Tribolium castaneum: one gene and its partner. The protein of the gene in region 1 purifies or fractionates together with the protein of each later gene. This does not show direct contact. Links are inferred from orthologs where the notes say so. Each region holds a gene or a part of one and is shown on either strand. Other genes may lie near its edges.

What was found. The genes of interacting proteins can lie anywhere in the genome.
Region 2: the proteins of nudC domain-containing protein 1 (region 1) and Dhx15 purify together in Homo sapiens (co-immunoprecipitation; 3 studies listed by BioGRID and IntAct, with this or other methods). This does not show direct contact. The link is inferred for Tribolium castaneum from reciprocal best matches to the Homo sapiens genes NUDCD1 and DHX15.

What each region holds. Positions count from the first base shown.
Region 1 is NC_087394.1:22,049,237-22,053,367, reverse strand, and holds the start of nudC domain-containing protein 1, read right to left. Parts: upstream 2,865-4,131; coding exon 1,437-2,864; intron 1-1,436. Other genes in the region: protein IMPACT-B, read left to right, coding at 3,021-3,262, 3,320-3,553, 3,608-3,805.
Region 2 is NC_087397.1:4,419,840-4,424,053, forward strand, and holds the start of Dhx15 (putative pre-mRNA-splicing factor ATP-dependent RNA helicase PRP1), read left to right. Parts: upstream 1-1,397; 5' UTR 1,398-1,564; coding exon 1,565-1,614; intron 1,615-1,667; coding exon 1,668-2,078; intron 2,079-2,415; coding exon 2,416-3,500; intron 3,501-4,214.

The sequences.
Region 1 (4,131 bases):
AAAAAAAATTGATGACGTCATGGCGGCGCCATATTGGCCGCCATGATTGATCCAGTTATGCTCAATTAAAATGCTAAGTTACCCGTTTCTGCATTTTTTTCATTTTTGAACAATAAAAGAAATATGAATTTTATACGTCACTTTATAATGATGATGTCAAAAAAAATTACGTGTTTGGTTCATCCATATTGTAAAGACTTATTAGTAGAGCTTCTGATTTTATAAGAAAAATTATACCGTTCCATTTAAAAATTCTGTGATGACGTCATGGTGCCGCCATATTGTCCGCCATGACTGATGCAGTCAGGTCAAATTTAAGCTCAATTAAAATGCTAACTTACCTGTTTTTGCATTGTCTTATTTTTTAAAATTAAAAGAATTACGAATTTTATGTGTTACTTTAAACTGACTCTGTATAAAAGAAAGACCGAAAGTGAATAACGTTCATGAAAAGGTTAAAATAAAAAACTAAATTACAATCCATATTCTAAAATCACTGTTCGATCAATTGTGCTTTTCGTTAGAAGTTTATGATATCTCAAAAAATTAAATTGTATTATAATTTTCTCTTTAGAATTAAAGCAGAGCTTTATAGACAATTTAAGAGACCATATTTACTTCACAACATTTTAAATTACTAATTAGTAACTTAGTTAAGTTACTTATACACGTATACGTATTATGTGTGATTTTTTTTATACTATATGTTATTAAAATGTATTTAATTCTTATGTGCGATTTGGTCAAGTACCAATTTATTTAACACCTTATAAAACTTCCCTGTTGTTTAGTAAAAATTTGCCTTAAAAAACTTATACACGTATCAGTCGAAACACTAAAAATTAAATAAAATACATCTATTTATTAAAAGAATTTACTTTTCAAAAGTGTTCTCAAATGCCTCATATATTTTACTAAAATTAATAAAAACATTTCTTGATTTCTTGCTCTAGTTTGATTTTGAAGATACTTTTAAGCTTAAAGTGATTGAGAAAAACAAAAGGTCATCAATGCACTACTAAATTATTAAGTTAACGTATTTAATGAAAATATGCTGGTTTTGCCAATTTAAATCTGACGACGTTTAGCTACCTTAAAAAAACATTTTTTGTAATTAGGAATATCGATTAGTAAATCTGTATTTGTTAAATTGTAGAGTTTGTTTGTATTTACCACGCTTTACAATTTTACATTAAATATGTAAATTTTGTGAAATGCTCGATAAAAAAAATTACTTTTGAAAATAATAGCCGTGAGTTTTGTACAGCTGATTAAAAACTAAAAGCCAACATTCCTGCAATTTTTTTAAACAAGTATTTTTGAGCAAGTCATAAATTTAAATTAACTTAATCAATTTGGAGCCGAGTCGGTTAAATTGGGTGATTTTCAAATTCGTTTCGCCACTTAGTTTTAGTCCTCCATATATCTTAACTCACCTGAATATAACCCAGCGCTAGCAAAGTACCCTTATGAACCAATCGAAACTCATTTTCATTAGTCGGCTGCCAGATACACGTATCAACATCACTTCGGATCCCTACAGCCAACGGCTGGTTCTCTTCCAACCCAACACTTAGCAGGACTTGATGTGACCCCAAGTTGATTTTATGGGTGACCTCATGCGAATCGCGCGAAATTCGTTCAAACACAGTCAATTTATCGCACTCAAAGTCACACTCTTCCACTTGTTGGCTGTTGAAAGTGGTCCCTGTGGGCGGCCCCATCTCGGTATCGCTCGTAAGTGGGGCCAATCTCGCCGCAATTTCGCTAACTAAAGCCGGATCTGGCAAATATTCGCCAAAAACGTAGCCACCTTCGACGATTTCTGGCCACATAAGGCCGGATTCACACTTTTGTAAAGTTAGGACGAGAGTGCTTGACTCAATGGTCCAACAGGTCACATCAGGGTCTATTTGGTGATACAATTTGCCGGTTAGGAGAGTCTCATTTTCGTATTTGACCGAGATGTGGGTTGGTTCGGTGGTTACGTGGACTAAATTTTTCTTAAAATTTTCAGGAAGTGGAAATTTAATGGTCAAATCTTCACTGGTTTGGCTCCACTTGTATTTCTTTTCAACTTGAATTTCTTCGGCTTTTTTGATTTCATTTTCCGAATCCAGGGTGAATTTGCAACCATCATCGCTGATTACGTAAACTGCGTCACAAGTGCGTTCGAAATTTGCGTACTGGACGAAGCCTTTAACTGTTAGTTCCCTCAAAGCCACTTGGTTCCACGAATCGCTTTTTTCCAAAGTTATCCAGTGCAAAATTGTTGAATTTCTCTCATTCGCTTCCCTCTGTCTTATACTGGTTAGTAATAAATGCAAATGTGGTTTTGGGGCCTCTTTAAAAACCACATCAGTTACAACAAACTTCTGATCAGGACCTGTCACGTCCCCAGAAAAGAGTATCTTCCATTTATCGTCAATGTCTCTGCAGCCCCTGTCTAATACGTAAAGATAGCCCATTCCATCTGCTACAACGGCAATCTGACTTGAGGCAAATTTCAGGGAAATATTGTAATCCCCAAAGCTCCTTTCTCTCTGTAAAGGTAGCGTCCACACGGTTGTTTTACAGAATGTGTGTGTCAATGATTCAATGCTAAATTTTTGAACGTTCAACTCTTTATCAACAAAATAAACTGATTCATTATCATTTTCGCTAATCAAATGATTGTGAAGAGCAAAGAGTTTTGCATGGAGCAACGAATACTGATTTACATCAGGCACTAATCTGTCCACTGGTACTTTTAACTGCTCGCTAATTGTGGGGATCTCGGCCAAAGACAACTTATAACCGTCAAAATCAGAGTTCAGTAATGATCGATCAGGACGCAATTCCATTAATTTCGGGTGAGACTGCATCTTGTGTAATTAAATACTGTGTGGCACTGAATTTATTATTACAAGACAATTGTTGGAATAAAAATCATAACCTCAATTCGCACTGTCAAAGTATGACTGACGTATGACAGAAATGTGTAAACATAACCTCAAAACTAAAATGTGTTTTCCAAAAAAATGGATAATTTAGCGGAACAGTGTGAGGAACTTGAAGCTTTGAAATCTATTTACGATGATAACTGGCGGCTGGAGACGGACACGAATTGTTATAGCATTCAAATTAATCCCAACGTTAAATTATTCATAACTTTGAATGATGATTATCCGTCAAGCAAGCCCCCAAGTTTTGAGTTATTGGCTCCTACATTAACGTCAGAGCAGAAGCAGCTAATTTCCGATGAATTTGGTAACATTTACGAGTATGAACAAGAAGTGTTTATGCTTCTTACAATTATTTTTGAACTATGATTTCTTAGAAGTAGCCAGGGAAGCCCTATTCTGTTTCAGTGGATTGAAAAGTTAAAGGAAATTGTGGACGAGTGTTCAGAAGTTTTAAGTGCTCCACAGCCAGAAGTTTTAAATGGCGAAGTTGAAGAGAAACAAGTCAGGAAGGAAACTTTTTTACAAGTGATACATGGGGATATTATACAAGACAGAAAAAGTGTTTTTCAGGGTCACATGGCTCGGGTTCACTCATTAGAAGAGACAAGGTATTTTACATGTCCAAATTACTGAATGATATTCTATTTAATTTTTTGTTATAGAGAATTTATGAATTTTTTACTTGATAATAAAAAAATTGCTCAAGCAACTCATAACATCTCAGCTTATAGAATTTTGACTTCTCAGGGAACCATTCTCCAAGACTGCGATGACGATGGTGAAACGCACGCCGGAGGGCGTGTTTTACATTTATTACAAATTTTGAATGTAACCAATGTGATGGTGGTTGTTTCTAGATGGTGAGTGTTTTTTTCTATGTCGTTTGAGTCGAATGGGGTGCGTTGGTAACAATAATAACTCATAATCCTAGCTCATAATGTATTTTTTTCTATAGCAGATGTCTGTGTGCTTTATTCTACTGAAAATAATTATTCATTTAGTTTTTTAACCGCAAAGTGAAGTTTCTTAATGGGTAAAGTTGTTCAATAGCAATGAAGTTTGTTTTTTTGTTAATTCTGCTGTCGAAAAAATAAACTTATTACGTTACATCTTCGATAATCGACAAATCTACATTTAATGTGCTCTTCGCAGTTTGTATAAGTTTTTTCACTCTCATACAAAAGCT
Region 2 (4,214 bases), on another chromosome or scaffold:
CGTATAATACCCCAATCAACAGACCGGGTCTGTCCGCCTAATTTAAAGTGCTAAGAGAATAAAATCGTGGGTCTACATGCACAGGTGTCTGATTCTCTTCCTGAATTTATTTAATTCTGAAGTGCCTCTTTGCCTTTTCTTTATGAATTAATAAACTGTAAGACGTAAATGTAAATTTTAACATAATTTACTCCCAAACGACAAATATTTTTGATAAAAGAACGTCACATTATTATTGGCTTTTGAGAAATAGTACAAAAAACTTGAAATTATTTTTGTGTCAGCGTACACGAACCACAAAATTGTAACGAAATTTTACACCCTTTATTACACACGCGGTCTCGTAAATTTATTGTAAAAGTGAATATTCGAAAATCTGGAAGTACTTCAGAATGATATTCGATTTTTCCCGTAGTTCAGTAACACTGCACAAGTTCAAAGCACGTGTGTGTTTGAACTTGTGAGTAAGGTACAAGAATTGTAAATTTATCCGTATTTACATCAGTTTAGCTTAAGATCCTTGTTCTTCCTTAAGTGGTTAAAGTGAATAGACTTCATCGAATTACTGTTTAAAATAGAAACTGTTGGACTAAAATTTCGTTTTGATCGTTGTAGATATTAGGAGATAAGTTCGGCTTTTATTTAGTTTAGTTAAATAAATATCTAGGAAATGTTAATCAAAATATACGATTATTATATGATATAGTGAAATATATCGTAACAGTAGATGTCTTAAAATCGATTTCTTTCTGTTATCTGTTATTGCGTTCAGTCAGCAAAAGAGCAATGTCCGTAAATTACCAAATATGCAATACATCACATGCATATCGAGAACTACAATCACAAGAGCCAACCATCACTACTGATTTGCCAACAAAATGAGCTTTTTAAATGATACGGTTAAATGTGGTAATAGACTTAAGATTTCTTAAACTGTATTAATTTTTTACTATTCTTTGTATAACAAGATGGCCAGACGGCACTAACACACTTCATAAACATGTAACTGTGTAAAATTTTAATTAAAAAGTGACGATAGGATTAACAAATTTCATACGTGCTGTACTATAAATGTATTAATTAATTAAAATATATTTTAAATTCAGGGCACAATTAATTACATTACTACTATTTTCGCATCAGAGGCATGTCCCATAAAACAACTTATGCGAAAAATTTTACATGAAGTCGGTTTAAAAAGTTGCAATTAATATGTTTCTCCCCAGAATCAGCAATATTCGCGCAGTACACATAATTTTGACTGACTAAAAACCAAATTATATTATTGTTATAAAGTTTAATTAATAAATTGTTATACGGTGTACAATAATTTCGTGGTTTCATTTTTCCCCTTAATTTTCCAAAAAATTTAAACTCCCGCTTTCGGTCGCCATGCAAATAAACGTCAATAAAACGGCAGCGCTCTGCTCTATCGACCGTGCAAAGTTGCATGGAGTCGTGGTCGTAGTTTTATTTCCAAACAAACTTTAATGCAATTTATTTTTATTTGTTAACAAGTAGACAATTCGAGAGCTTGTTACTATTAGCCGTAGTCTATCTAACAATGTCTAAAAGGAGAATCGAAGTGTTGGATCCGTTTATAAAGAAGAAAAGGTGAGTAACCACAAATGTCACTCAGCCACATTTTCCGCCTCGTGATATTTCAGGGAAGAACGTGGGATTAGCACTGCAGTAACGAACACCCCGCAAGTAACCAACGCCTCAATCAACCCGCACACCGGTTTGCCGTACACCAATAAGTACCATGAGTTGTATCGCAAACGCATCACGCTTCCTGTCTTTGAATACCGCAACGATTTCATGCGTTTGCTCGCCGAAAACCAGTGCATTGTGCTGGTTGGCGAGACAGGGTCGGGGAAAACGACGCAAATTCCACAGTGGTGCGTTGAATTCGCCAGGTCGGTCGGGAAAAAGGGGGTGTGCTGCACCCAGCCCAGGAGGGTGGCTGCCATGTCTGTGGCCCAGAGAGTGTCAGAGGAAATGGACGTCGCCTTGGGGCAAGAGGTGGGCTACAGCATTCGGTTCGAGGACTGCTCGTCGGCCAAAACTATCCTCAAGTAAGAGGGGCTATAAATATTTTCCAGAAACTCTTGTCTTCTTCCCCAATTATGATTATTCCTTGTGAAAAACTAGTTTTTTCCTCGCCGAATTCTATTAAACCTTGTTTTCTGAGGTTTTATTATTTTCAAAATACTCTTTTTCTCTTTTGGACTTAAATTATTGTTTTTTTTTTGAGAAATTTTAATGAATCAGACAGAAAAGTCAGTAAATTGGGTTTGAAATAAAAAAAAAATTGTCGTTTTCGAGCTTTTTATTACGTTTATCATATATTTACAAAAGCAGTTAAGTTAAATTAAGTTAAAGCATAAAAATTACAACTGTGTGATTTAATAGGTACATGACCGACGGTATGTTGCTCCGTGAGGGCATGAGCGACCCAATGCTGGACGCCTACCAGTGCATTTTGCTCGACGAAGCCCACGAGCGCACCCTTGCCACCGACATTCTGATGGGTGTTTTAAAAGAAGTTATTAAACAACGCTCCGACTTGAAATTAGTTATTATGTCGGCGACTCTAGACGCTGGCAAATTCCAGCAATATTTCGATAACGCTCCCTTAATGAACGTCCCCGGTCGTACGCATCCAGTAGAAATTTTCTATACTCCCGAACCGGAACGCGATTATCTCGAAGCCGCCATCCGTACCGTCATCCAAATCCACATGTGTGAGGAAATAGCCGGCGATATTCTCCTATTTTTGACCGGTCAGGAGGAAATCGAAGTTGCTTGCAAACGAATCAAACGCGAAATTGATAATCTGGGCCCCGAAGTGGGCGAACTAAAATGTATCCCGTTGTATTCGACGCTGCCTCCGAATTTGCAGCAACGTATTTTCGAGGAGGCGCCCCCTAATAAGGCCAATGGGGCGATCGGACGCAAAGTTGTCGTCTCGACCAACATTGCGGAGACTTCCTTGACTATAGACGGTGTCGTGTTTGTGATAGATCCCGGATTTGCGAAACAAAAAGTCTACAATCCTCGAATTCGTGTCGAGTCGTTATTGGTCTCGCCGATTAGTAAAGCCTCAGCACAGCAGCGTGCCGGAAGAGCTGGAAGGACTCGGCCGGGGAAATGTTTCCGACTTTACACCGAAAAAGCATACAAGAACGAAATGCAAGACAACACCTATCCAGAAATTTTACGATCGAATTTGGGTTCGGTCGTTTTACAATTGAAGAAACTGGGAATTGATGATTTGGTTCATTTTGACTTCATGGATCCACCGGCGCCTGAAACCTTGATGAGGGCCTTGGAATTGTTGAATTATTTGGCGGCGTTGGATGATGATGGAAATCTCACCGATTTGGGGGCGGTTATGGCCGAGTTTCCGCTCGATCCACAATTGGCGAAAATGCTCATTGCCAGCTGCAACCACAACTGTTCCAATGAGATACTGTCCATTACGGCGATGTTGTCAGGTATTTATTTTATTAACGTTTTTCTGAAGCAGGCCCTCAGCCCTTGCTTTAAACGTCGATTTGGTTATTTATTCCGATTAGACTCATTCAAAATAATTTTTTCATTTTCACTGTTTTGGTTTATTTAATTGGCAGCGTTGAATGTACTTTCACTACTTGCCACATAACAAACCTCAAAAGAATTAAAGGTTCCCATTTTTAAACGATTTTACCACAGTATTTATGCTTGGAGACTAATAAGTAATAAATTATATTTTTGATTTTGTGGTAGTTGATGCCGAATAATAGTCGGAGCAAAAAACCATTATCGTTATTAATGAACTAAATTTTTTGTTGAATATACGACTCAGCCAATTTCCGAAACCTCCGTAATCAATAATTCAAACGCTTGTGCAAAACAATATTTTTTAAAATGTTTATTAGATGCATCTTAATGTTGATTTTGTTTAATGAAGAATGAAAGTGGTTTGTTGTCCATGAATTTTACTTTATCAACTGCTACCTGTTTATTGGTCTGTTGTCACGCGGGTTCGTGTTATTCGGAACGATTTTCGAGCAAAACCGCTAGTAATATAGCTAATAAATGCTTGAAATAACAGACATTGAACAGAACAGAACACCACAATGTTGTGGTTTGTTTTGCTCGAGTCGTTCTGACTAAGGTAGCTCTGTAGGAAACGCTTGAGAGCGCAACTATATTGGTTGGATACGGGC